Linked DNA regions of Mus musculus. The protein of the gene in region 4 interacts with the protein of the main gene of each other region in a pairwise test. Links are inferred from orthologs where the notes say so. Each region holds a gene or a part of one and is shown on either strand. Other genes may lie near its edges.

Region 1 (2,874 bases), on a different chromosome or scaffold from region 4:
TAAGACTCAGGTACCTCACGAGGTGAAAGCCAGAGACGGGAACAGAAAGTCCCATTGCTAGAGCTTCTCATTCACAAGGCTGGCAGTTAGCATGAGCCAGATGTCTGTGTCCTCAAAGAGGCAGGGAATGTTGCTATAGCAGCAAGCAATCCAAGAAACCAAGGCTGAGGGATCTCTGCCCTGTGAAGCCACACAGTTTACTGATTATGTAAGTCCACTTTGTTTCAGCGGGCCACTCCAAGAGTTGAAAGATCAGCCAGCACAGAAACAACTCAAAAGATGACTGTTTATTATAAAATGTTCTGTGCTGGGTGTGGTGTGCTAACCTTTACCTCCAGCACTATGAGGCCGAGGGGACAGGTGGAACTCTGTGAGTTCCAGATCAGCCTCAGTTACAAGTTCCAGGACAGCAGGAGCTACAGAGAAACCTTATGTCAAACAAAACAAAACAAAACAAAACAAAACAAAACAAAACAAAACAAAAGTAACCACAAACCCAAAAAGTTTTAAAATTTATTTAGAGGATTGGAAAGAAGGCAAAACTAACCTAAGGCTAAGTGACCACAGGGATCCTCTGGGTGAACAGTGAGGACTATAACCACAGGGACATAGATCCAGTTATGTCCTGCCTGGTACAGGGAGGCACTCCACCCCCACCCCCACTTCCCCCTGACCCCCACAAGTTAATATCTGCTCACTTTGGGTGAAAAGCTCTATGCAGAACGCCAGTCCATTTATAAGTTTATACCAAACAGGAATACTAAGTAGCCAACAGAGGTTTTAAGCAATTCTGGAGAAAGAAAGAGCAGTCCCAGCATTTAGATCTAGTTAAGGACCCAGTTCCCAGGGGATAATGGGAAGCAAACAGTTAAGCTTCCGAGAGGCAGGAAGAAAGGAGCCCTGGGGAGAGCGCTGGGCAGGGTGGTGGTGGTGGGGTGGGGTGGGGGTGGCATGTCATCATAAGGCAGCGTGGCTTCTCCTGGTTACCTGCACTTAGGTGTCTCACAGGGACTTTTCCTGAAAGCTGGCTCCAGGAGGGAGAGATGCTTTCAGGTTTTGCAGAAACAAGCCTCACATAAGGTGTCTTAGGCTAGAAAGCTCTACCTTTCAGATAAGTAAGACCCACCTACTAAACCACACACCCAGATATTAAGATACAAATGACTCTTCTAGAGGTACTTCCAAGACCCCACACATGATTATCTACGACCAGGAAACAATGTCAGCTAAGGTCAGTGGTGGAAGAGCCGGAGATCCGTATGAGCCAAGACAATCCCCAGCTCGTCGCACGCCTCAATCACAACCTTGTCAGCAGTAGATCCAGATGGAGCGACAATGTAGGCCACACCACTCTGCGGAGAAAACCCCCAAAACCAATGGTGACTTTCAAGGCATTATAGTATGCATACCTAGAAAAACCCAAAATTCCCCTCTAGAATGCAGCGGTGGGAGAGAGGACTCAATGGTTTAGAGCACTGGCTGCTTTCCCAAAGAATTCAAGATTGGTTCTCAGCACCCATATAACATAGCACTCACAACCATCTGTAACTCCAGTCTAGGGTCTCTGACGCCCTCTTCTGGCCTCCATGAGCACCAGGAAGGTACACATAATACATACATAAGTACATGCATGTATATAAAATATAAAAATATATAAAAATAAATCTTTAAAAAAGCATAAGCTAACGATGAAATATCCAGACAAAGCAAGAGAATTTGGATTTTGCCTACATCACACAGGGAAGGAAAATAGCTCACTTATATCAAACCGACATAGCTTTCCGATGCGACTCTAGGAAGCTAAAACACAGGAAGCACAATTTCGTTTTGTGAAGCTAGGAACTGAAACTGAGGCCAGGCATCGACTGCTCGAGTGGCCTGTGCACATCCCCAGACTCTAAGGGGCTATCTGAAATCATCCCTACAATTCTACGTCCCCAGCACACTCCAGTTCTTGCTTACCCTTTTAGCTCGGTCCACATTATCCCTGAAAGGAAAGAAGGCGTCGGAGCTGACAGACACGCCGCTCAGCTTGTCCACCCATTCCTTCTTCTCCGCCTCCGTGAGTAACTCAGGAACCTCTTCGAACAGTGCTTCCCATTTCACCAGGTCTTCGCCCTAGGGAGCCAGGGACGGAAAGGGAGCCCAGCATCACTGTTAGCGCAATCCAATGAGAGCACAAGGCCAGCAACCACTAGGGCATTCTCCTGTCTGCTCACTAAACAACACGCCGAGGTTCTTTGATGTTTTAAAAACATGTTCATTAAGGAAAGGTCATTCTTAGGTTGCCAAAGAGAATAGATTGTACTTTTGTTTATCCTAAAACCTACAATAGTCCTGACTCTCAAAGTTAAATCTGTAATTTTATATACCTTCACCAAACCATTTAAGACAATGCTTCATGTCTAACCTAGGACCTGGATAATAACTGATGTCTGTGTACATGAACTACATGTACAACTGTTTCAGGTATAAAGTCAGCCGCAGGCAAATCAAAGAGACGCACGGCATTTACTACTATCTGATGCTGTCACCTCACAAGCTGACCATGAAGTGTAATCCCAGTGCAGAGGTGGTAAGTAATAAGGCCTTCTGCAGGCTGCAATGGAGCATGCCGACAATCCTGCACTCACAGCTGCAGTGCAGCTCAGCCTACACTAGAGCCACCATCTTACATGAAACCAAACAAAACCAGAAATAGTACCAAAACCACACGGAGCTGCTAAGGGCTTTTGTATAAATGTGGTAGGAGAAGGCCCCTGGTGACCAGCTATCAGATCACGTGTGGCTCAAGTCTAATGTCACCTCTGCTGACACTAGGGGATGCTGGCAGATGGAGAAGAACAGCCCTGCAGTGACAATATTATAACCCAT
Region 2 (3,500 bases), on a different chromosome or scaffold from region 4:
TCATTTTCAACCCAAAAAACTTACTCTCAGGTGTCGGTTTTCTTCTGAGAGCTTCATCATTTCTCCCTGGAGTCGCTTGCACTCTTCCATCAGTTTCCTTGTTTCCGTATCATTGAGTGAAACACTGTGTGGTTTTGGCAGGGGTCCGTCTTGTTTGGATGCATTCAGTGGAACAGCTTTGCTAGGTTCCATATCATTCTGTGTTTCAAAGATATTGGGAATCTTTAACAAAAAATTTATGGGTTTTAAACTAATACAAACCTAAGTTCTACATATTTCTCTTCTAAAAATGTCATGAAAATATGACAAGTTTCAACTAATTGTAAGATTTATTAAGTAGCAACTAAGATCACCTGCAGACAATGTTCACTGGAACATGTCAATAAAACACCAGCAGCTAATCAAAATAAGCAGCCGATGTCTTCTACTCCCACACCCTTGGAACTTACCTTAGCATAACACTTAAAAGATATCATAACTCATATTTACATTCTTTACTCCAGAATTTCAAATGGAAGGAAATTCACTACGTCTCTTTATTATTTACCCCTAGACACACACTTTGTCCACGAGCAGTCAGTGAGTGAAATGTGCTGAATGAGAAGCTCTGGGTCATTTCTAATGGTCTGACTGCATGCAGTCAAATGAGGTCTTAGGAATTGGAAAGTACAGGACAATCTATCTCATAATCACTCCAGTAAGGTTATAACTACCTAAGGATATACAGTCAAAAACAATCTAATGTCTATTAATGAAATAAAGTAACTAAAAGATGCAAACACTAGAAGGGAAACAATAAACAAGTAATACAATGGCCGCTATCTGTGGTCTTTAACACAGAGGATCATTTAAACTGTAGACTGTCCAATTAGTGTGATTCATTGTGGTATTCTATCTAGGTGGCAGGTTAAGACAACTTTCAAAACTGTAAGGTCTTACCAACACCACAAGCACTTGGACACCTGTGGCAACACCAACATTATTTTCTAAGCCTGTGATCTAAAGTGTTTCAGTATCCTTAAAATCCAACATTATGCTACCACATACAGTAACAGTATCAATATAAAGTCATCCTTTTCAGGTTAAGTCAATGTAACATTTGATAACAAGCAGGAGACCTTGGGTTTGCTGTTAACCACAAAATTTAAAAAGGCAAGCTTTAATCCAGGTAATAACCACTAATCAAGATATTTGACATCCCAAAGTAAATTTTAAGACATCCCAAATCTGGCAGCCAGTTGGGCTACAATGGTTAACACTGTCAACCAGACAGATCTAGAATCACCCAGGACTGTAAACAAACCTCTGGGCACATCTGTATTAAGAAAAGTGGGACAAGCCACAAGAAGGTGAACACCAGCACTCATCACTGCTTCCCGCCTGCAGGGGCAGCCTGCCAACCAGCTGCCCATGCTACCACTACCAGGTTGGACTGTACCCTCCACCTGTGAGCCATCATCAAGTTCTCCTGAAGCTGCCTGGGCAGGTACTTTATAAAAGCAACAAGGTATTCTAATACAGGCACTTAGCTAAGTATCTGACCTGCTAGCCCATTTAACCACTTGCAAGTTTCACAGCTGAGAAGGGTGCATACTTCAAAGTTACAGAGCTGCTTACTTCAATTTATTCGGAGTTTCTCCTGCTGACACACTTATTCTTTATCATACTCTTCCCCAATGTCCAACTAAATCTATCTCTAAAAGAAAAACCTTTACTTCATATTTTGCTAACAATATTTTCTGAGTTTTCTCTTGACAATAATTAAATTGACTTCAAACTGATTTCTCAAATCCTATCCTGCACAATTAAGAACATGTCACCTCTGTCTGTAAAGAGAGAAAACTTAACAGGCAAATAGAGTCCTCACACTTTGCCTAAGAATGAAGAAAGTACTAAGCAGAAAGTACTAATCTGTTTCCCCGCAGAAGGTCCTAGGCTCATCCTCCAGTACAGGAGCAAAAAAACTGAGAGAAAAATCAGTGTTAGCCCCATATTGACTCCAAAATTATACAAAGCTAATAATGTTAATGATTTTAAAATAAAGATAAATAAATTCTTAAAAAACATATGCTGGGTGTGCCAGGAGTATCTCTGTGAATTCAAGACCAGCCTGGTCTATATAGTACAACCAATACTATTCCAGTACAACCAGGACTACAAAGACCAAAAAAAAAAAAAAATGACCATTCTTGCTATATCATTAACCAAACAAATTCATATTATCGTCCTCGATATTTTCATATGCATTTTATACCATGTGTAAGGACCTTGGTTCAATCACCGAGGACTATAAAATAAAAAAGTCAGCATTCATGTAACTATACAGGTGTGCATTCTGCTTTATGTATCTTTCAACTATTTAAAGTGGCACAATATTTCATTAAATATTCCATTCTAGGACTATCAAAATCACTCAACATTTCATTTTTGTTAGAAGTCTGATGGGCAGCTACTATATGGAATTTGTATTTCATTTACAATACATAGCAGATGAAAAAACAAACTTAAAGATCTCTAATGTATAAACAAACAACCTGGCTTAGCTGAAGATCAAGAGAGAAGGCTGAGTCTTTTGTGGGTACACTAAACAGGTGACTATGTGAATACTTCTGATGGAACCTCCACTAGTGAGTTTGCCTGCAGGACGCCAGCTTGCTCTTTTTAAAGTTACTTCAGATTGATCCAGAAAGAACAAACTGCTTTTAGGACCACGGATCAACCAAATAAACAGATTCGATATGCCGTGACTCTTACCAACAAGAGTAACATCATGCTTTAACACCTCAAGTTACAATAAGCTACAGCAGTATGGTATACACTTTCCACTATCCTATACTCTTCTATCTGCAGTAGTCCCATAAGGATTTCACTTTCAGTAACTTTGTAGGGGCAAAGGAGTTAGGGACTAGACACCGAAAGGAAGAGTGAAACCTATGGCAGAGTAACTATTTTCAGTGAAGCTCTAAGACAGGAGCTAATGGGCATGCTTACCACTGCTGTGAGTAAAGGGTGTCAACACATTAAGGCAGTGTGCAGCTAAAGGCAAAAACTATGTCTATGCTGTCAGAATTAAAGTTTTAATCTTTGAATTGAAATACTCAAAGAGCAAGGCTCCATAGATTTTTTTACTTTCTACCCTAACAGCAAAACAATTTCTCTAGGCCCATGGTCATCAAAGTAAGTAATTTCAAATTATAAAGCCAAGCAAGAGTTAGACATTTAGACTTAAAAAAAAGATTTGTTTGCTTGTTTTTTGTTTTGTTTTCTTGGTTTTTTTGAGATAGGCTCTCACTATGTAACCCAGCTTGCCTGAAACTAGCTACACGGGACAAGCTAGCCCTGAACTCAGAGCTCTGCTTGCCTCCCTAAAGCTAGGTATTTTAAGGCCTTATTAGGGAGCTAGAGATGGCACAGTGGTGAAGAACGGGCTGTTCTTCTACAAGGCCGGTCATGAAGCTCCAAGAGGGGAAGTAAAGGGCACTCTCATCACCAGCAGGATT
Region 3 (3,500 bases), on a different chromosome or scaffold from region 4:
GTCCCTAAGCTAGGAAAAGACATCCTTCCTCCATGTAGGAACAACTCAGAATCAAATTCTAGCCAGCTCAGTTTAGAAAACCTCTCCTCCTAGGAGAAGTGACATTGCGAGGGTTGGACTGGCTTCCTGGCCAACCCTAACTTCCAGAGATGGTTTCCACTTCTAATTGGCAAGGAAACAGCTGTGAATTTACTTCCTTTAAGAATGAGGTGAGGCCGTCATTGCTTTCCCTGTTTTAGACATGAGTGAACTGCTCATGCCATTGACTTACTCGAAAGTCAGCCTCAGGCTGGGCCCCTCAGGTTTCTAATCTGAGGAACTGAGTGCATCTCATCCCCATGTTTTTACAAAATCAATTTGGAAGATCTCAAATAAAATAAAATAGTTGAATTTCATGCAGTGTCCCCAGGTGTGTCTTTCAGAGGTGCCACAACCTCACTGTGCATGGCAACAGACACTGGGTGGCAAAGGCCTTGCAAGTTACACTCAAGATACTAGGGTATAAGTCACTAAAGATGTCCACATCCCAGAACCATCCCTTACCACCCCACCTGTCCACAGGGCATCCCTGATACCCAAGACCCCAGGGAGGTTCCAGAACTTTAGGACCTCGTGCAATGAATGGCTTCCTATCGCCCCCACGGCAAGCTGAGGGAGGCCTTCTTTCCATTGTAATCTGAATTGGTTAACACAGATCCCCACAAACGAATCCATCCCTTCATTGTTACAAAGATGTTTTATCTCTGATCTTGTAAGGAGCCCTTGGTGCCAGTTTTCAGACCTGATTTTCCACAGAAGAACTTTGTCTCCATCTAATGGCCAACGTGGGAAGTGCTTTGACCCTCCAACTCTCTTTCTTTCTTTCTTTCTTTCTTTCTTTCTTTCTTTCTTTCTTTCTTTCTTTCTTTCTTTCTTTCTTCCTTCCTTCCTTCCTTCCTTCCTTCCTTCCTTCCTTTCTTTCCCTCCCTCCCTCCCTCCCTCTCTCCCTTCCTTTCCTTTCCCTTTCCCTTTCCCTCTTTCTTTCTTTCTTTCTTTCTTTCTTTCTTTCCCTCCCTCCCTCCCTCCCTCCCTCCCTCCCTCCCTCCCTCCCTCCCTCCCTCCCTCTCTCTTCCTTTCCTTTCCCTTTCCCCTTCCCTTTCCCTTTCCCTTTCCTTTTCCCTTTCCCTCTTTCTTTCTTTCTTTCTTTCTTTCTTTCTTTCTTTCTTTCTTTCTCTCTCTCTCTCTCTCTCTCTCTCTCTCTCTCTCTCTCTCTCTCTCTCTCTCTCTCTCTCTCTCTCTTTCTTTCTTTCTTTCTTTCTTGGTTTGTCGAGACAGGGTTTCTCTGTATAGCCCTGGCTATCCTGGAACTCACTTTGTAGACCAGGCTGGCCTCGAACTCACTCTTAAGGACAGGGGAGAGGGCAGGCCACAGGTACACATGCAGGAAATGGGTAGATTTTCTTCTTTTCCCATTCGTTCTGAGTCAGGAAGCAGAGGCCTCAGAGTGAAGCCTCACTGTACCACAGTCCGTGTCACCCCAACCTAGACTGTCATTCTGAAGGAATCATTGTGTTCTTCTGTTCAAGGCAACTCGTTGGTAGATGTTGGTGAGGCCCTGAAACTCATGGCTGAGGTGAAAGACTCTCTGGATATTAATGTGAAGCAAACTTTTATTGACCCACTGCAGCTACTGCAAGACAAAGATTTAAAGGAGATCGGGGTGAGTCTTCCTGGCTGTCCTGTGCCAGCTGCTGCTCATCATGATACCACGACTTAAAACCAAGGTTTCTGCGTGGGCTCGGCAACCACACAGTCTTATCTGAGGGTTGAAAACTGCACTCGATTACTATATTATATGGGTTCCTGAGAGAGTACCGGGATCCGTTTCTCCTGGCAGACAGACTGGGTGGAGGTGCAGGCTCCGCTGTCACTGTCCTGTTCTTCGTCTCACTGAGTCATCTGCGAGCCAGGCTGAATATCATATTTCTGCAGCCACTTCTCATATAACACAACGACATCATACTTTGGGGTGTAGATTTGATTGCTAATATCACACTGTATCGGTTGTGTGCTTGTGGTCATTCTGTTTCATTCTTTCTCGAGAAAATCATTGTCTAGAAACTGGCAGTTTTATCCTGGAAACCTGCAAGAAATTGTTTTGTCCAGGGTGTCTGTGGGAACTTCCAGGTCTCGTTCAGCTCGGCTGCTTTTGCAGATGTGCAAGCCAGCTCCAAGCCAGCTCCAAGCAATGCAGACTGCCAGACTTCGGCGCTGAAGGTCCAGGCGCCCTCTTGTGGTGTTGTAGAGAATAGCTCACTGCCTTCAAACTTGATTGACATCTCCCTTCAGCTGCAGACTCATTTGAGTCTTGTCGCCATCTTTCCAGACCCAGACAGTTTTAAGAGTGTAGCCACCGAGATCATGAGTTAAGGAGAACTTGGGCTATGTGGCGTGTTCCTGCAACAAACAGATGAAGCATATAGACGTGAGGTAGGAAAACAGCAGTTACCAATGCTGGAGAGAAGAGCAGGGACGCCTGAGGAGGGGCACCATCCTCCGCATAGCTGGATGAGGAAAGGCCACCGAGGAGCTGTCCAGGATGACTGGGCTGGGTAAATAGGCAGCACATCTTGCTGAAGGGCCAGGGTTAGGATGTCTAGGAACCCAGGGCACAGGGGAAGACCAGGTAGCTATGGAGGGAGAGAAGCCTGGGAGTCCTGGAGAACTCCAGATGCCTTTACCTGCATTTAGAGTTTATTCTAAAAGCAGAAGGCATCAGAGAAGGACCCGGGAAGGCTGGATGAGAAATGAAAGCTGCTGTTTTGGTCCCCCTCCTTATTTGGACAACTCTGGATCCCCTCACCTGTCACCCCTTCCTTCCATCCCAGGAAAAGCATGCCCACTCCACACTGGGCCCAGGTCCATCCCTCTCACCCCACCAAGACCCATCTTCCTTCCCCCATGTCCAGTCTTCCTGCTTGTGTTGATCTCTCCCTGTGGTATTCAAACCTGTCGAGAATCCCTTGACACGCTACATCATCATCGTCATCATCATCGTTTTTGGAGGAATTGGCAATGGAAATATTCTTATTTTTTGTAGAGTTAGGGTGGTTAGACATTGTGTATGTTAACAGAACTGGGGAAGGGAGTCCTGTGGAGACAGGAAGGGTTACCTGAGCGAGGACACTGCATCCTTCCTTATTCTCCACACAGACTCTCATTCTCACCTGCTGCCCACCCCTCGCCCATCATGTGTCCTTCTGTAAATGTTTCGAATGCTAGGCAGGGTGGGTGGCCTTCAGCAAGAGACAGAGGGTGCAGAGCAGAGGATGTAACTGGTTTCTACCTGAAGAGTGGGTGGGGCCGAGGCTCACAGCATCCCACCCCATAGCTTAGGACTGGACTCCCTCTAGGGGATGGAGGGGTCAGTTTTCTTGAGGAGTTCTCCAGCAGGTGGCTCTGTGTCCTTGCACAACTGACTATGTGGCCTCCATGGATTTACAAGAGCACGTGAAGTTGGG
Region 4 (4,283 bases):
ACCTAGCCTGGTCCTCCTACAATAAGGTAGTGTAGTTTGGAGGTGGAAGGAACTTGAATCAATTTTGGCATCACTTCTTAACAGCTATGGGGGAAAATCACTACACTTCTCTGTGCATAGGTTCCCCAAACAGATGATGAGAATCACCTCTCACTACATGCAATGTGAGGACTGACAATGCACTGAAAACAGAGTCTAACTGTCTTCTGCTTTGATGACATTTACATATGGTACCATAGATTTGGAGGGAAGGATAAACACCCTACCTCAACTAAGGGAGCCAGTCTGGAACAAAACTGACCAATTAAACAAACAAATCTTTTATCAGCCTGTTGCAGAAAGGGTGTCTCACGTTTTCAATAATCTGTCCTTTAGAACTTAGCCTTTTTACGTTACTTTGACAGATAAATATTTGCTTGCTACCTTTCCTGCTACACCCAGAAGCATTTGGCTTTAAGTGAATATCATACAAACAGACAGATGAAGTGGCATTTTTATTTAACCGAAAACAAATCTCCAACCACTAACAGTGTTCATAACAGTAACACCTAACAGCGAAGAAACACAGAGTTAAGCTGAGACAACTGGTGTTCTACAGGGGCTCTAAGGGAAACTGAAAACTAGGGGAGGGAGTCCTATGGGTAGGCACAGATGCCAGGCAACTGACCGATGGGGCCTGGAGCCCTTCAGCTAAGGAAGGTAGGAGAAAAGCTCCACAGTGCTCCATCCCATCTGTGAAAAAAGCAAGCCCTCTTTACCGACTTTATCCCTGCTATTTCCTGTACTGCAAGATTTCCCAGACTCCTGCTCGTTAGAACCGTCGTGGTAGTCTTCCTTTAGATGTTATCAATTTTTCATTTATGCTAGCGAGTCTCAAATCAAATGCTACAAGAGTTTTGAAAATTCTAATTCTCAAGATCGACCCGTGAAATCTGAGTGTATGGAGTGGTAGCTAAACAACGGAGGAGGGGTGTAGTTTGTTTTGCTTGTTGATTTTTAAACCCAAATGATTTCATTGTGTAGTTAAGTTTGGGAAACTGAGCCTTACACCCCCTCCAACAAAAGTGCACGGAGCACCAACCCCCAAGTCCAACTTGGATGCGGATGACATCAACAGCAAGTGCAGACCTGACTCCTGGAACCCGAGCGGCTGGATTTTGAAATTGTGCAATTAAACCTTCCGAGGCATGTTTCTCGTGTCAAGTGGGTTTATGGTCGGATAGTCATGAAGCCAGACTTGTTCATGTTCCGTCTGGACAGTTGGCATGTGTGATCCATGGACATCAATGTTTCTTTTTAATTAGGGGTTATATTTTAGTTGGCCAAATATCAATCACTTGGGGGGGGGGAGGGGTGTGGAAGGAAAGAAAAGAAAAAGAAACCCAAGAGGGAACGTCTCAGCTAACAAGTAAGAAAGTTTGCTACCGGCCTCATTTTGAAACACCAAGGGTGCACTACACCCAAGGGCCCAGCTGTCACAAGGAGGTCAGCCATCCATTGCAAAGGCAAGTGATGCTGCAGCAGCCCAAGCTTCTGGGAAAGGGCAAATTCAGGGATCCCAGGGGAAGTAGCCACCCCGCAACGCTAGCTCCAATCTGGCATGGAGCCTTGGTCCCCAACCAGTGCACCTAGCCTGGCAAGTCTCTGGCATGCTCTATGCCTAAGAGGCGGAATCGACCCACCCCACCCGCCACCCCCACGCCCTCCTTTTTTTTTTCCTAGTGAAGAAGCAAATGACCACTAACACCATCTCTTCCCAGAAGTCCTAGGTGGTTAGTGACAGAGAGATCTCCACACTTCCAGGTCATTGCTGCAACTACACACCCGCGAAAGGGCAAGCCAGAAATCTGCAAGCTACATTGGGACTCAGGCTACCAGGTCCTGAGAGTACCCTGCTGGAGAAGAGAGGAGTTGAGGGAAACCGCGCTCAGGAAACCGCGCGTCTCAGAGGTTCCGACCTTGACCAGGGGCGCGTTGGTTCGCACTCCAGTCCCTCAACTCTCACACTGAGCGGGTGGGACACACCCGACCCGCTTGAGGATCCGGGGTCCCTCCGCTCTCCCTGACAGTACTGGGCGCACGTGCGCCAATGCCCGGCGTCCCGCGCTGTCCCGCACCACGTTTCTGCTCCGAACGCCTACTGAGCGCAGGAAAGTGAGGCAACTAAGTTGGCAGCAGTCAAGAGCCCCGGAGCGCACAGCCGCGGCTCCCACGCTGCCCTGGCAGCCCCTCTGCTCCTAGCCCAGTCTCCCTTCCTTCGGCGGCCCCAGTCTCGCCCATTCCAGACTCCGTCCAGTTCCTCCTATGGTCCCGGCCGCCTTTGGGAGCCAGAAGAGGAGGAGCGGGCGGCTGGGGACTTAGAGTCCCGAGCGGAGGTTGGGACTGGGCGAGCTAGCTCGCAGGGGGCGCGGGCCGGTGGGACACGCCCTTACCTTTCTTTTCCTCCAACGCCCCACCTGCGGCGCAGAGCGCGGTCAGCAACACCAGCAGTGTGGTTCTCGCGGTCCCTGAGGGTCGCATCTCTGACCGGGAGAGGTTGGCTCTGGCTCTCCGGGATTAATCCGAGACAGACGGAGTCCCACGGTTGTGCCCAGTGACTGCGCCGGCAACGACGAGACCCGGACACAGGCTCGCGTCCAGGTGACCTGTCGTCTGTCTGGGAGGCGGTAGCCTCCGGGACTCGATCCAGACGCCCTAGCCCAGGAGGAGCGCACAGTGCGGGAAGAAGAGGAGGGAGGCTGCTGCGCGTTGCGCTGGGGCTGCCCAGACGTCTAGTTAGCTCGGGTCGGGACTGGGGGAGGCTGGGCGGGAGGAGGAGGGACTAAAGAAGGAGGAGGGATCCAGAGGAGCGAAGAGGAGGAGAATGTCAGGAGAGAGGAAGCGCTCTCCGCGAGGATCGAAAGCAGGCAGTGACCGGAAGGTGGTGGTGGATGGCCTTGGCCACCACTAGACAAGGCTCTGGGGGCGAGTTCTGGCTGTGTGCAGCGGGTCAGTGGGTGGCCTTTGGAGTTAATTTCTGAGGGGACTCCGCTCCGCTGCATTTCAGGACCTAGGAAGTCCAGCCAATCTATGCCAGGGTCCCCTCCTTCCTTCCCTCTGTCTCCCACCTTCTTCCTTCCTTTCTTTCAATTAACCAAACAACTCTGGACCACCTCGGTTACAAACTGTCCAACCACAGAGCACAGGTTGGAGAATAACACAGGTGGGGACGCTGTTCACGTATTCTCCATAACTTCTCCAGGATCTCAGAAGGGTCAGGCTGACTTGGCAGCAGTTTCCAACAGCACAGGCAGAGGCGGGTGCCTCAAGTCTGAAGTGGCACTAAGAAGTCCAAGGGTCCTTCAGATCCCATCAAGAACCCTCCATGTCTTCTGAAAGAAGGGCAGCCAACTCCTGACACTTAGAAGGGCCTCAGTATATTTGCTGGATGAAAGCATGCATGTTGAAGAACATGGCATTTTCTACACCTGGAGCCAGTCTGGAGTGCTTGAAAAGCAAAGCAACGTACACATGAGGCAAATTCCTCCACAAAAGCAGAGACTTGACATAACAGCAGTGAACAAATCTTTAGAGCAGTTAGCATCCTCTAGTGACCTCAGCTAGCCCTGCCGCACATCAGGAGGCAAATTGCCAAGTAAGTTCACTTAGAATTTGACCAGTAGAAATGTGTCCCTGAACTTCAGGACCCACAACTAAATTCCTTCAGCAAAGACCAACCAATGTCCCTACTTCTTAGCTATCAGAGGAATGTCCCCTGCTTCCATTCAATCCAAAGTCTCTGAGTTTTTCACAAAATCACTTGGTCCCCTAATTTAGGCCCCTTTGCTGTGGGTGTCCTTGTTAGCAGAAGTCATGGCTAACCAGTGAGGCTCAGTCCAGCTTTTTCCATGCAGCCAGAAAGGAGGCATTCCGGACTTTTCGTCCGCACCCTGCAAAGTCAGGGCTGCTGCCCAAGTTTTGTAGGTGGCGTCTTGAATGGGAACACGTCACCCAGCCTGTGCAGGGACCCTCATCACAACCTGAGACCTTCACTGAGAAGTAGAGCGGGGTTTCTTAAACTTTTCCCACGGGCAACCTCTTTTCATAGATGCTTTTTATGTAATCTTGGGATTTTATATAAAATAGGTGTTCAAATCAGACATCGACTAATGGTAGATCCTAATGCAATGTTAAGATAATTTTTGGCATATATATGACTTTACCACTTACTAAAGATTAAGGCAAATTTGCATACCAATGAGATTGATTTGTTTATTGTTACAAAAAATTAGGTTTTGAATGAG
Region 5 (4,216 bases), on a different chromosome or scaffold from region 4:
TATGTAGATTCAAATTCTAATTATGATTGACATAAACTAGACTCTCTTGTCTATCTGCCTGTCTATCTCTCTCCATCCTCCTGTGTGTGTGTGTGTGTGTGTGTGTGTGTGTGTGTGTGTGTGTGTGTGTGTGTGTGTGTGTTATAATATCTTCTTATAAATCTCAGGCTAGTCTTGAACTCATGGCCCTCCTAACCTTCCAAGTGATGAGACTACAATTGTGTACCCTCACCTTGAAAGTAGAGGCCATCTTGACCCAAATCTGGCTCAGCTAAGGGCCTGTCTTCACACTCACTCTTTACGTACAACACACAACTTCTCTATTATCAGATAGTTAACCCTCAAGGGCTCTTCGCTGAAGCCACCTCTCTTACCTCTGGCAAGTTACTACTTTGTCCTTCTTGCTGTGTGAAGAACTGTGTTCGCAGGAATCTGACTTCTGCAGCAGGAACCCCAGCCGATGTTTCATGTCCTTTGCACTGCAAGGAAGAAGACAACACTTAACATGAAAAACACATTTCCTTCAAAGAGAGACATGAAGGCTCTTAAGACTGCTGTGTGGGTCAGAAGCAGTGTCCTTAGGGGACTTGCAGTGGCTTGAACTCCCAGAAGCGATTCCTTTGTTTCTGCATATGGCTTTTGATATCGTTGGTGAAAACATGTTAAGAAGTGGCTGCTACTTTGAAATGTGTGCAGTAACTGCAAAACAGGACCCATGCTGCCTGTAGGACATCTTCTGGCAGCCTGGTGCTACTTCCCAAGGTGAGCAGGGGAAGCACTTCTGTAAAGTGAGTCCAGTTAGCCCTGAAAATGGTAGCCAAGGAGTTCTCAGTGTGTGTGTGTGTGTGTGTGTGTGTGTGTGTGTGTGTGTGTGTGTGTGTGTGTGTGTGTGCAGAGCATCAGCTTAAGTGTGTAGTGCTGCAGAGAGGAGCAGGAAAAGTGAATGGTACAAGGGAGTGTGCTCAGGCTGAAAGTGCAGCCCTGCCAGGCTGGTTTCTAGGCAACCTCCACCTAGAGCTGCAAACAACAAACAAACAACCCCAAATCTACATTACAGGGAGATGCACATTTAAAAGGGCATCTGAGACTTTGGGATAGGAGAAGCAAGACAGAGTCAAGGCTGAGGCAAGTAATTAATTAGAGCAGTTTCCACTTTCCAACCACCACTCAACAGCCAGGGTACCACAGAGTTTCTGACTACTTGAACTTCCAGCTCAACTCTGTCATTCTTTCTTAATAGATTTCTAAAACTATATTACTATTATCTCTTTTATTATAAAAGCCAAGAATGGTTTAAATGTGTTTCCAGAGCAACAGAGGATGAGCCGTTCTTGCCTGAAAGGGTTGGCAAAGAACGGCAGTGCTCAGCAGCCCCTTAGGATGGAGGTTGACAAGCTGGTTGCTTATCAGTGGATTTTCTTAGAACGTCCGAATCTCAGGCTATTCTTGGGCTGCCCTTTAAGGTAGTATTTTTCCATCTCTCATAAGGCCATCTTCCTTTCTCTTTTTCCCAAGCTGGTGACTGGTGACAAAATCCTTCCCAGTAACAGCAAGATAAAAATCACCAGAGTTGGGACAGTCCTAAGGTGATGCTATGGATGCATTGTAATCCAGCCCAAAGAGATATGACTTCCTGTCTCCGTGTGCTGCCTCTGCCTGAGCCCCGGCAGCTACTGACTAAGTGAAGGGGCATTTCCAAGGAGCTGGAAGCGTGTTTGGCAAATATCTTGTAACACAACAGAAGCCGAAAAATAAAAACCAAAGTTACGTTAGAAGTCCCTGGAGACAGGTAACCTGGACATGGTCCTTCCTCTACCACCACCAACCATGTGACCTTGAGCAGATAAGACCCTCTGGAGACCCTAGCACTGAAGATGAGAGCTGATTAACCCTTTGAGGGCAGACAAACATTGTGCTTTGGGGAATTATTTCCAAGTTGAGATTTATATCTCCAAGGATGGTTAGGGAGGTTTGGTAGAGCCACAGATCACTTCTGACCTCTAAGTTCAAGAGGAAATCATGTAATACACACTAACCTTGTGTTTTATTTTAAACCAACTACTATATATATAAGTACTCCATGAAATCATTCATTCATACCCTTAAAAAAAATGAACGCAAAGGCACACAGGTGCCTCTAAAACTTTAAGCTGCTATGTTACAAACTGTATATATTTCTCAACCACAGAGATGTAGTTTGGAAAAAAAAATCTTTTATGCTTACGCTTGTTGACAACCAAGGCAGAGGACACTGAAGAATGCCACAGAAAGCATTCTGACAATGTCTCCAAACTTCCTTCTGAGGTTTCTTCCCTCACACAAGAACTAGTTAATCATGATTTCAGAAATGCTCCAACAGGACATGGTTATGGAAAGAGTACAGATGCATCCCCCACACCTCCTATCACTTCGTAATTCAAACAGCTTAACTAAAGGACCCAGCTTACAAGTCAAAGCCAGTCTCAAAACTGAAGTCATGTAAAATACAGCAATCTGGCTGGTCCTAGGGAGACGCTACCAGGGCTTCCTGGAGCATATAGCTTCTGATCCCAGAGAACTTCCTAAGCAAAAGCATGCAACTCACTGAAAAAGTCTATGCAAAACTTTAGCCTGACCAGTAACAGAAACCAATCTTACCTCCTCAGGCAGGAAGCCGGCAGACCTGCAAGTCCTTTGCACATCTTGTTTAACTGAGGGATTCTTAGCGAGGAGAGAAAGGCAGCGGGAGCCGCGGTGGTTTCTATTTTGAGCACAGTTGCTTCTGCTCTGCAAAGAAGCTGTCAGAATCCTCTGAGCCTCTGGCTTTCAAGCCCGGTGGGGTCTCTTTTATAGCTCAGCCACGCACCCGGCAGCCAATCAGATGACAGGTCTGCAGGCTCCGCTCTGCTGCGGCGCGCTGCCTCTCCAGCCCTCAGAAAGGGTGAGGAAGAAACAACTGACGCATCAGGGATGCAAATGGACCCAGCGGAGAGAAGCCATTCGCAAAGTAGGCATATAGAAAATGAGGTTTTGCTTAACGTTTCTACCTACGCGTCAAGTTTTGCATTTGTAGGAAAGGAAATATAGAATCCACCGTGCTGAAAAATATTCATTGGCTTGTAAGATCAATGTCTAAGGAACTGTTCTCCCAGAAAGAAAGAAACCAGCAAGGAGTCTTCATCCTACTCTACGTCTGGGTCTCAATACATGTTTCTCCTTGGGTTAGAAATATATTCTGGGTAGTGTGAGGCAGAGCTGGTACTAAGATCGTGGTCTCTGGGCAGTGATTTAATGAAATATCCTGCCTGATTGGTAGACACGGAGGGATGTGGATAGCAAACAGCTATATGTCCGGCAGCATAGCAAAGCCAATGGAAGTTAAATCCAGTATGTCTGTAATCAATATGACCTTGAGACATTCCTAAATATGTTACTGAGCACAAAATCTAGTCCAGCTTTGGCGTTCTCTCCTGAAGACCCTTGACTCCTGCAAAAGACTAAAAGGACCAAAGCAGGGGTGGATGGACACATTAAGACACCAATTCCAATTGCACCTGAGTTTGTATGATATGTAATGCTAAATCTTTATTATTCAAAAAAGAGAGAGGGAGGGAGGGAGGGAGGGAGGGGGGAGAGAGAGAGAGAGAGAGAGAGAGAGAGAGAGAGAGAGAGAGAGAGAAGATCCAGCAGGCAGAAAGATGTGTAGTTTGCCTTGCATATTAACAGGCTGTGAAAACGGTGGGAGAGCAGCCATCCGTGCTGTGGCTTCTGAGTTTCCAAGAATCTTTCACATTCACTGCCACGGACTGAAATCTTCAGACTCCTGCAAGTACTTCACATCTTGCAATCATGGTTGAAATACCCAGATAGGCAACGCAAATTGGCTGTGTACACACTGGGGAGTTGTGACTGGAAGAGAGAGGTTTGCTTCAGTGTCTGACCAAAACAGCTTTCGTCTTAAAGTCACACAGGTGCCTGGTCTTAATCCAGTGACCTAGATTTTACACACAAAGACATCACTGCTTTTCAGTCTTTGGGGCTGAAAGTAAATAAAAACAAGACATCGGATGATTTGCACAAAGAAAGAGAGGTACCAATAGCTTTCTTTAGAGAAGGGTTTCTCTCAGAGGTATCAAAAATATAGAATGGGAAATAGAAGCATGTAATGTTCTTCTATGCTCTGGACCAAACACCTGCCCTCTTTATCGTACACATCTTCCTTGGCTAGCTGAGTATG
Region 6 (4,024 bases), on a different chromosome or scaffold from region 4:
ATGTGAGTGAGTGTATCTGAGGACATATCATTATTATCACGCTTATTCACATTCTCTCTGTCTCTCTGTCTTTCTGTCTCTCTCCCTCATGCAAGGAATAAGTTACAGGCAAACACAATACATGAATGAAAATTAAAAATTAATTTTGTTATATACAGTAGCAATAGCAGATGAAGAAACGTAAAAACAATCATCTGAGAGGCAAAAACAACAACAACAACACAGGACTCAATAAATGTGGGTTGAACATAAACAGATGAATGAGAATGAACAAGTCAGTAGTTAAAGAAATGAACTAGATGTGGCCTATGGCTCTCTAGTGGCGGGCTCCTATCTTTAACGCTCACCAAGGATGTCTCTTACTCAACTCATTGCTCCCTTGGTCCGTGATCTCTCACTGGGCACGGAAACAGCCTACTCACTCTGCCTTGCTCCTACTACTACCAGACAAAAGGAATGTCTAGAGCCCTAGGCAGAGAGGCGTCAATAGTCTGCCAAATTGAGGGAGACATTCAGGCCCCCAGAACCTTCTCATTCTGCTGAGTTAAGTTCTCGGAAAGCTGTGTCCAATCCCAGATTGGCTACTTAGATGAATGAAAAGGAAATAAGGTAGTTTGCCTCACTTCCCCAGTATGCTTTCCTGGGAGAATCCAAGGCTCGTCTCCCAGGGCACCTTCTGGGCCCTATACCCTGTAGCTGTTCCATGCAACCACACGTGCTGTGGTCATATTTGCTCAGTGAAATAACGCAACAATTTCCCAAAATATGTTTTATGCTTCTGTAATGGTTGGGGGATGGCATACGTGCGCTACTACCCAAATGTGGAAGTTAGAGGACAATTTGAGGAAGCCAGTTCTCTCTTTCCACCATGTGGTTCTGGGGATTGAGCTCGGGTCATCAGGCCTGGTGGCAAGTGCCACTGTATGGTATAGGTATGAGTGTGTGAGTGTTTTGCCTGAATGTGCACATGTGGACCAAATGAAGACATGAGAGCCCCTATAACCATGTGGGTGTTGGGAACTGAGCCCAGGTCCTCTGAGAGATCAGCAAGTACTCCTTACTGCAGATCCACCTCTCCACCTCCCTCCCACAGCTTCTCTTGATAGCTGGTTGTACATTTTCCCCTTTAGTGCCCCTAAGGAATCTATCTCAGACACAGCAGGCGATGGGCCTGGGATGCAGCTTGTCTGTAGCACTTTGCTAGTATGCCATTGTGTTTGACCCCCAGGACTGAATAAACAGGGCACAGTTGTGGACACCTAGACTCAGGCAGGCGGAGGCAGGAAGTCAGTAGTTCAAAGACATCCACAATCACACGATGAGTTGCGGTCTCAGCATAAGGCCTGAGACCATCTCAAAAAAGCTAAGCCAGCCTATGATTGTAGGTTGTAGATGTTAATTCTTTCCTGACGCTACTAACTTGATCATTTAAGTGAAGTACCTTCTATTCAATATAATTAATATGTGGAGGCTTCCAATCGTTGCATTATGAACGTTCTGAATTGTTTCCCTATGTTAAGTGTTCTCCCTTAAGCTTCACTTCTTTAAATGGGAGGGTGATTTTTCATTGGGCACTTATCCCGTTAAATGTTAACTTATAAATTTAGAACAAACAAACAAACAAAAACTTGGTAGCTTAGAAACTTCCAAAACATACTGTCAATGCCTGGCAGTTTTTGTATTCACTAATTAAAGGTTTAAGGTGCAAGTGTTCTTTGCTTAGAACAGAAAAACAAAACAAAACAAAACAAAAACAAAACAAACAAAAAAACAAAAAAACAACAAAAAACTTCGAGTGTAGTGAAATAAGATATTTTCCAGTACTCATAATATTTCCCTTTTGGGGAGGAAAAGGGTCTCTCCGTCTGAGTCCAGCCACCTTACCTACCATTTGCTCTTTGCTGAAGAACTTTCTGTCAGATCAAAAGCCTCCAGGCAATCTGAGCGTTTTACACCCGAAATAATATTTCTCCTTTTTGAAACTAGAAAAGCCTTTTCCTGACATCTAAGATGTAAACACAAGGTTCTCGTTTATAGGACTGAAGAAGTCATAAGATACTTATTAAAAGACTCCACTCACGCTTTGTCTGAGGTTTCGGTAAGTTGTTTTCTGACCGGTGATGCAATTCGGATGCTCCAGAGATGAACGAAAAGCAGAGAAGTGAAGCCCCTACACTCAGAAACAAGATCCTGGTCAGAAGGAAACAGTCCGCACCTCCTTGAACGACATCTTTTCCACTTCTAGGTCGCAGAGACTGCCGTCCAACCTTCACCATCAGAAACTATGATTGCGGACACATCTCCTGCCAGTGACCGCCTGCCCGGAGCCTGGGGACAAGAGAGGGGTGGACTGGATGTAAGTTGGGACAGCGTCACCGTTCACCCTAGCTTCCCAGGGTTCAGAGACACTACAGACACTCCCTTCTGTGACCCCAGGGCCAGAAAGGCTGTAAAGACGCAGATCACACAGCCGCGGGCTCTGGGACAGTGGCTGCAGCTCTCCGGTGGCCCCCTCTTCCCTGGGTGTCCCTCTTCCTGCAGGGATCACAGCAGGAAACAAACATCTGGCCCCAAAGCTGATCCGCCCGGCTGGGGGCGCAGGTGCTTCACTTTGGAAACCAGGTCCCCGCACAGCACAGCGGCCGCCCCGGTCGATTCGACCCTGTCCGGGGAGGGGTGCAGCAACCCGGCAGCAGGACCGATCCACCTACCTAGGAGTCCTCCAGCCGCCGCTCCCCGTGCCCACTAGCCATCTGGGCACCAGCCTAGGAAGACTGAAGACCTGGAAGTGAGGGAAGGGGATGTCCCCAGGTCAGGGCCCCGAACTTCCCGGTCGCCAGCACCGCCCCCGGTGCGGCAAGCGCCGCCCACAGGGGTCTGCAAGGGGAACGGAGCCTGGCATCAGAGCTGGCAGGAGCCACAGGGCAGGCAAAACAGAACTGAAAGTCCAGAGGCTCCGTGTGGGAATTCCCCAGGTGTCCTAAAGAGAAAGCTGCCTCCCAGCTCGCCTTTTGGCTGAGTTGAGCTGCTGCAAGGATTCTGGAAGGAAGAGGATATTCTGAAGAGACGCACTCTCTTTGGTTATTGGAATGCTCCAGCTAGGAAACGTTAAAAAATTACAGCCCTGTGCCAGTCACAGGGAGTTTTTATCAGTTCACCATGAGGAAAACACTGGAGGCCTGGACAATGATGGCTGAATGACTCGGGGGGATAGCACACCTTGACCAAAACTGCCTACTTATGGATTCTTTCTGTATTATCTAAATCTAAACCTGTGGTGACAGGATGCTGAACTTAGGATGGGGGCGTCGTACACCCTCATTATTTAGTTGTCTTCCTGATGTGGCTACACTGAATAGCTACTTTTCTGCTGTCTACTGATAATCATTTAAATACCCTATCGAGGCCCAAAAGGATAGGCTAGACAGCCAGGGCTGCCAAGACCCAGGTCCTAACTCTAACTACTCTAATCTCAGAATCTCACTTCTCCCTCAAACACATCTTTTGAACTCTTTTGCTATCTCTCCATCCTCAGAGGTTGCAACTTGGGCTCAGGAATATTTTCTCTTTCTCCTCCTTTTCAACACTTTGTCCCCCTGCCCTTATGTCTCTGGGATCCATTTCTGCTCAGCATCTGATAACAGAGTCTACCAGCCTCCATGCAGACCTGAATGGCAGCATTGTGCTTGGGATATGAATGGATAAGGATGGCACAGATATGTTTCTCTTTCCTTGGCCCCCAGAACAGCCCCCCTTCTAAGCATGGGGAAGATTCGGGGCCCCCACTTCTATCTATGGCTTTGAAGCTAAGTACTTCCCTTTCTCTATCCCATAGCTGCATCGCAGAGTGATTCTGAAAACAGCGTAGATTGGTTTGCTTCATGGTGGAGATGTGGCTCCATATTCCAGTTGTAAGGGGAAACCCCCTACTTTAAAACAAGTTAATCACCTGCCTCGGGTGCCTGTGATCCCATTTGACCTCGGCAAGGCGAGATTGGATGCAGAGCAAGCAACCTTACCCCCA
Region 7 (4,130 bases), on a different chromosome or scaffold from region 4:
TTTGAGTTTGAGTCTACCTGGTCTAGATATCAAGTTCCAGGACAGCCAGGACTATACAATGACGCTCTATGCCAATAAAACTAAGACAAAACAAAAACCTATCTTCAGACTGTGTATATATTACATATATGGTTTGTATAAAACATGAATAAATTAATTACATGTTTTATCTTGAGTTTCATCCCCAAGAGAATTTATTATATGTTTATAAATATTCCCAAATCTGTATTGAAGTGTTTCAGGTAAGGGATACTCATGCTATACAGAGATAAGAGGATAGAAAACTGAAGATCACCAGAACTTGAGAAAAGCTCAAGGAAGGAGAAAGACCAAAGCAGAGAAAAGCAGCCCAAGAGAAACAACGACCATGTGGTACGCAGAATAAATCTTCAGTGAGTGTGTGTGAGAGAGACAGGCAGAGATACAGAGAGACGGGCAGAGATACAGAGAGACGGGCAGAGATACAGAGAGACGGGCAGAGATAGATACAGAGAGACGGGCAGAGATACAGAGAGACGGGCAGAGATACAGAGAGACGGGCAGAGATACAGAGAGACGGGCAGAGATACAGAGAGACGGGCAGAGATACAGAGAGACGGGCAGAACCAGAGAGGGATAGAGACACAGAGAGAAACAATCTGTAATCAAAATTTGTTTTGTTTTGTTTTTTCGAGACAGGGTTTCTCTGTGTAGTCCTGGCTGTCCTGGAACTCACTCTGTAGACCAGGCTGGCCTTGAACTCAGAAATCCGCCTGCCTCTGCCTCCCGAGTGCTGGAATTAAAGGCGTGCGCCACCACCACCCGGCTATGTAATCAAAGTTCTTATAGATACATTAGATGATATTGCTTCCAAGAAACAACAGTGTACTATACAAAAAGAACCGAGACGCCAAAAAAGGGGAGGGGGACTTTCAGATAAGAGAAATAAATTCTTTTGTTTTCTTTTTGTTGATCGTCGTGCTGTTTTGGTTTTCGAAGAGAGGGTATCACTATGTAGCCCAGGCTAGCCTCAAATTCAACCCTCCTGCCACTGCCTCCTGATGCTGGGATCGTAGGCCCTCACACCCAGCCGAGAAATGAAATTTCAATGGCAGGGTTCAAAAAGAGTCAGGAAATTTCTTAGACAACAGAGACGAAGGAGCAAAGGTGGAAGGAAAAACAAGACAGTCGGAAGTGATGAGGAGCAGGAAGCCCAACGTCTACAGGAGGAAATGGAAGGGCGGCAATCGTCACGGAGGTGAGAGGGAGGCAAGAGTGGAGAGCTGGCAGCACATGGCAGAGGGAGGTAGACAGAAAGCCTGACTCACCAGAGAAGGCACTGTCTCCAAGGTCAGGGTTGCTAGGCACAGGAGCAGAGGAGACAACAGGGACGGCAGCAGGACTACTGTCAGGCAGCACCACTCTGGAAGAAAGGAAGGAACGAGAAGTTGATAAAGGGCACACAACTTCCACGGTCACCTCCCCTCTACCCACTCACAGGTAGCCGTTGGGATAGTCGTCTTCATCCTCATCTGCATCCACATTCTTACAGGCTGGCTCTGTGAGAAAGGAGAGTTAACACGACCTGGACAGGTCCAGCCTCCCCACCCCACCCACTACCCCAGACCCCAGACCCACCCTGGTTCTCGTAGCTTGCCACACTGTTGGCTTCAAAGAGAGAGGGAGAAGAAGACTGGATCAGCTCAGGTTGTACATCCTCCCCAAAGCCCTCCTGTGCCCTACACCCTTACCATCATCTGAATTCTGCTGGGAAGATGGCATCCGATGGGAACCCCCAAGGGGCTGTGGGGATCTCCTGGAAGCCAAAGGTCAGAGATTACGTCTAGGTAGGACTCTGGGAGCAAGACAACCAGGAAAAAGCGCCTCCCCAACCTAGAAGGTGGAGAGGCACAGTAGACCCAAGGGACGGAGTTGGGGGATACTCACGGGATGGGGAGCAGGTCTGGCTGCCTCAGGGGTGGGAAGGAAGTGACTAGAGGGTAGGAAACAGCAGGTGTTCGGGGGACGGTTATTTCTGAGGACACAGAATGAAGCTTGAGGGATGGCTCCAGACACCCCCCATCAAGGCCTCGAAGGACAAATGGACCCCAAAATAACATGCCCTAGACAGACATGGGGGCTCCCACTTTCCCCATCCCAAGCCAGGGAACAGCCCTTCAGACAGCTAAAGGTGAACAAGGACAAACGCACACTCTTAAAAACCCTCGAGGAGGGCCAGAGACACTGAACTCACGAGGTGGCTTGATGAGGATGCTTCTTGGGTACAAACTGGCAGGAAAGAGACAGCTTGGGTACAGGGCCAAGAGGGCCCCAGCCCCAAACCCTTGAGTGGAACCAAGGGAAGACACACAGGGACACGGGCTTCCCACTCACCTCTCTGTGGAAGTGCTGTCATAGGAGACTGGAGGAAAGAAATCCAACAAGTCAGGATCGGGGTGCACCAGGGACAAAGAAACTCAGGCCCCCCACCATCAATCAGGGCCCAGGTAGGGACAGTGGAGAGTGCAGGGGCTGGGGAGGGTATGAGGATCCAATGGAGCGCCCACCCATCATCCAGTTCCGCAAAGCTTCCCACTTACCTGGCAACTCACGGCAGCGCACGCACAGGGCAGCCAGGAGCGTGACCAAGAAGGGCAGCAGCAGGAGGCCCAGCCCCACCGGGCTCAAGGCGTCTGCTTCCATCTGCAGAGCACCTGCCACAGGCCCTGCTGCACTGCAGCCCCTCGAGACAGAGTGGCAGCAGGGGTATGGGACCAAGCGGGCTCCAGCCTGGGATCCGCCCGGCAGTAGGCAGCCGTATCCTTTCGGGGCTGGATGGCTCCCCTCTCTTGCTGGACTGAGTTGAGAGCAGTGTTGGCTCTGGAAAGGTGCTCGCCCCAGAGCCAGAGCTGGGGCCCGTGCCCCAGCTACCAGCTGCACGATCCCCGTGCCCAGCTGTACCTGCCCCTTTCTTGCTCCCCGCCTGCCTCTCCTGCTCACCACCGCGTGCGACAGGAAGCTGTGGTGAGGGCAGGAAATCATCAGGCTGCTCAGCAGGCTGAGCCTGCCCCCTGCCCACTCACCCCCACCCAGTTGTGGGAAGGGGGAGGAGGCAGAGGGACTGTGTGGAGGAAGGGTCTAAGGCTGCAGGATGAGGCAGCCCGTCCACTAGGAAAGGAGACACGTGCCAACCAGGCCCGCGGTACCCTCCCCATGCCCGGGTGGGAGAACTGCAAGGAGGCTCTGCCAAGGCCTGTGTGGACCGAGGGCACTGAGGGCACCACAGGCCCCCAGCTCCCAGGCTTAACTACTGGGAGAGCGACTTCCAGGGGACCACGGTGAGTCACAGTCATACTGAACCAGCTCACTCAGAAAAGAGCAGCCCTCCTTCTAGATTACCAAGCTCAGAAGACAGGGACTTACCCACAGGGTGACCTGACAGCCCCTGCTAAGTCCTGGGACTATGGATATTCCCTGAGGCCAGTGGCACCCACAGAGAGACAAGCAGTCAGTCAGGAGTCTGATTACAAATTTTATTCCATTACAAATAGCACCAAACCCCTTGGGCTGTCCTAGTAGAGAGGACACCCCTTCCCCGTTTCTGGACTCCCATCTCTTCCCTGGGCTGCCCATGTAGTGTCTGGGAGCTGGGAGATATCCCAGGGCTTCCTTCTTGGACCTGGGCCTGGTGAGGGCTTCTGCCTGGGAACCGTCTTGGGTGGGCCCAAGGCCCAGCTGCGATGCATCAGTGGCCGGGTAAGCACCGGCTCCTCAGATGAGCACGCTGGACACGGGGACTCGGGTAGAACGGCCTCGCTGAGGTACTACAATCCGGTCATCTGAGGGCCCAGACTCATGCAACAGACCTGCGAGAAAGGGGTCAGAGCCAAGGCCAGTAAGATAAGAGCCAGCAAGGGGACACAGGCAGCAAGGGGACACAGGCAGAGGGGCCCAGATGAGGCAGCATGGAGAGCCCTCAGAACTGCACACAGACAGAGCCCAATCCACTTCCAGACAGACCCAAAGCTAAGCTGGATGAGCCTGGGATGCTGGGACTCTTGCCCCCAGCTGGTGGCATGAATGGATGGGCTAGTCTGAGTGGAGGGAGAACTGTAGAGTACATACGCGGAGACAGACAGACAGGCAGGTGG

What was found.
Region 1: the proteins of Egfr (region 4) and Atic interact in a protein complementation assay, tested with the Homo sapiens proteins (2 studies listed by BioGRID and IntAct). The link is inferred for Mus musculus from reciprocal best matches to the Homo sapiens genes EGFR and ATIC.
Region 2: the proteins of Egfr (region 4) and Vapa interact in binary tests that used the Homo sapiens proteins (3 or more experiments, as listed by UniProt). The link is inferred for Mus musculus from reciprocal best matches to the Homo sapiens genes EGFR and VAPA.
Region 3: the proteins of Egfr (region 4) and Sh3gl3 interact in a protein complementation assay, tested with the Homo sapiens proteins (3 studies listed by BioGRID and IntAct, with this or other methods). The link is inferred for Mus musculus from reciprocal best matches to the Homo sapiens genes EGFR and SH3GL3.
Region 5: the proteins of Egfr (region 4) and Rgs4 interact in a protein complementation assay, tested with the Homo sapiens proteins (3 studies listed by BioGRID and IntAct, with this or other methods). The link is inferred for Mus musculus from reciprocal best matches to the Homo sapiens genes EGFR and RGS4.
Region 6: the proteins of Egfr (region 4) and Tlr2 interact in binary tests that used the Homo sapiens proteins (3 or more experiments, as listed by UniProt). The link is inferred for Mus musculus from reciprocal best matches to the Homo sapiens genes EGFR and TLR2.
Region 7: the proteins of Egfr (region 4) and Lat interact in binary tests that used the Homo sapiens proteins (3 or more experiments, as listed by UniProt). The link is inferred for Mus musculus from reciprocal best matches to the Homo sapiens genes EGFR and LAT.

What each region holds. Positions count from the first base shown.
Region 1 is NC_000067.6:71,577,030-71,579,903, reverse strand, and holds the end of Atic (bifunctional purine biosynthesis protein ATIC), read right to left. Parts: intron 2,119-2,874; coding exon 1,963-2,118; intron 1,353-1,962; coding exon 1,233-1,352; 3' UTR 501-1,232; downstream 1-500. UniProt on the Homo sapiens protein: Bifunctional enzyme that catalyzes the last two steps of purine biosynthesis.
Region 2 is NC_000083.6:65,582,556-65,586,055, forward strand, and holds part of Vapa (vesicle-associated membrane protein-associated protein A), read right to left. Parts: intron 199-3,500; coding exon 25-198; intron 1-24. UniProt on the Homo sapiens protein: Endoplasmic reticulum (ER)-anchored protein that mediates the formation of contact sites between the ER and endosomes via interaction with FFAT motif-containing proteins such as STARD3 or WDR44.
Region 3 is NC_000073.6:82,272,296-82,275,795, forward strand, and holds part of Sh3gl3 (endophilin-A3), read left to right. Parts: intron 1-1,565; coding exon 1,566-1,699; intron 1,700-3,500. UniProt on the Homo sapiens protein: Implicated in endocytosis. May recruit other proteins to membranes with high curvature.
Region 4 is NC_000077.6:16,750,720-16,755,002, reverse strand, and holds the start of Egfr (epidermal growth factor receptor isoform 1 precursor), read right to left. Parts: upstream 2,801-4,283; 5' UTR 2,521-2,800; coding exon 2,433-2,520; intron 1-2,432. UniProt on the Homo sapiens protein: Receptor tyrosine kinase binding ligands of the EGF family and activating several signaling cascades to convert extracellular cues into appropriate cellular responses.
Region 5 is NC_000067.6:169,744,843-169,749,058, forward strand, and holds the start of Rgs4 (regulator of G-protein signaling 4), read right to left. Parts: upstream 2,801-4,216; 5' UTR 2,682-2,800; coding exon 2,638-2,681; intron 480-2,637; coding exon 375-479; intron 1-374. UniProt on the Homo sapiens protein: Inhibits signal transduction by increasing the GTPase activity of G protein alpha subunits thereby driving them into their inactive GDP-bound form. Activity on G(z)-alpha is inhibited by phosphorylation of the G-protein.
Region 6 is NC_000069.6:83,838,809-83,842,832, forward strand, and holds the start of Tlr2 (toll-like receptor 2 precursor), read right to left. Parts: upstream 2,801-4,024; 5' UTR 2,712-2,800; intron 2,616-2,711; exon of another isoform or gene 2,329-2,615; 5' UTR 2,231-2,328; coding exon of another isoform or gene 2,216-2,230; 5' UTR 2,081-2,215; intron 1-2,080. UniProt on the Homo sapiens protein: Cooperates with LY96 to mediate the innate immune response to bacterial lipoproteins and other microbial cell wall components. Cooperates with TLR1 or TLR6 to mediate the innate immune response to bacterial lipoproteins or lipopeptides.
Region 7 is NC_000073.6:126,366,569-126,370,698, forward strand, and holds the start of Lat (linker for activation of T-cells family member 1 precursor), read right to left. Parts: upstream 2,683-4,130; coding exon 2,580-2,682; intron 2,402-2,579; coding exon 2,374-2,401; intron 2,269-2,373; coding exon 2,234-2,268; intron 2,015-2,233; coding exon 1,927-2,014; intron 1,796-1,926; coding exon 1,731-1,795; intron 1,648-1,730; coding exon 1,618-1,647; intron 1,539-1,617; coding exon 1,478-1,538; exon of another isoform or gene 1,403-1,477; coding exon 1,308-1,402; intron 1-1,307. Other genes in the region: Spns1 (protein spinster homolog 1), read right to left, coding at 3,751-3,845. UniProt on the Homo sapiens protein: Required for TCR (T-cell antigen receptor)- and pre-TCR-mediated signaling, both in mature T-cells and during their development.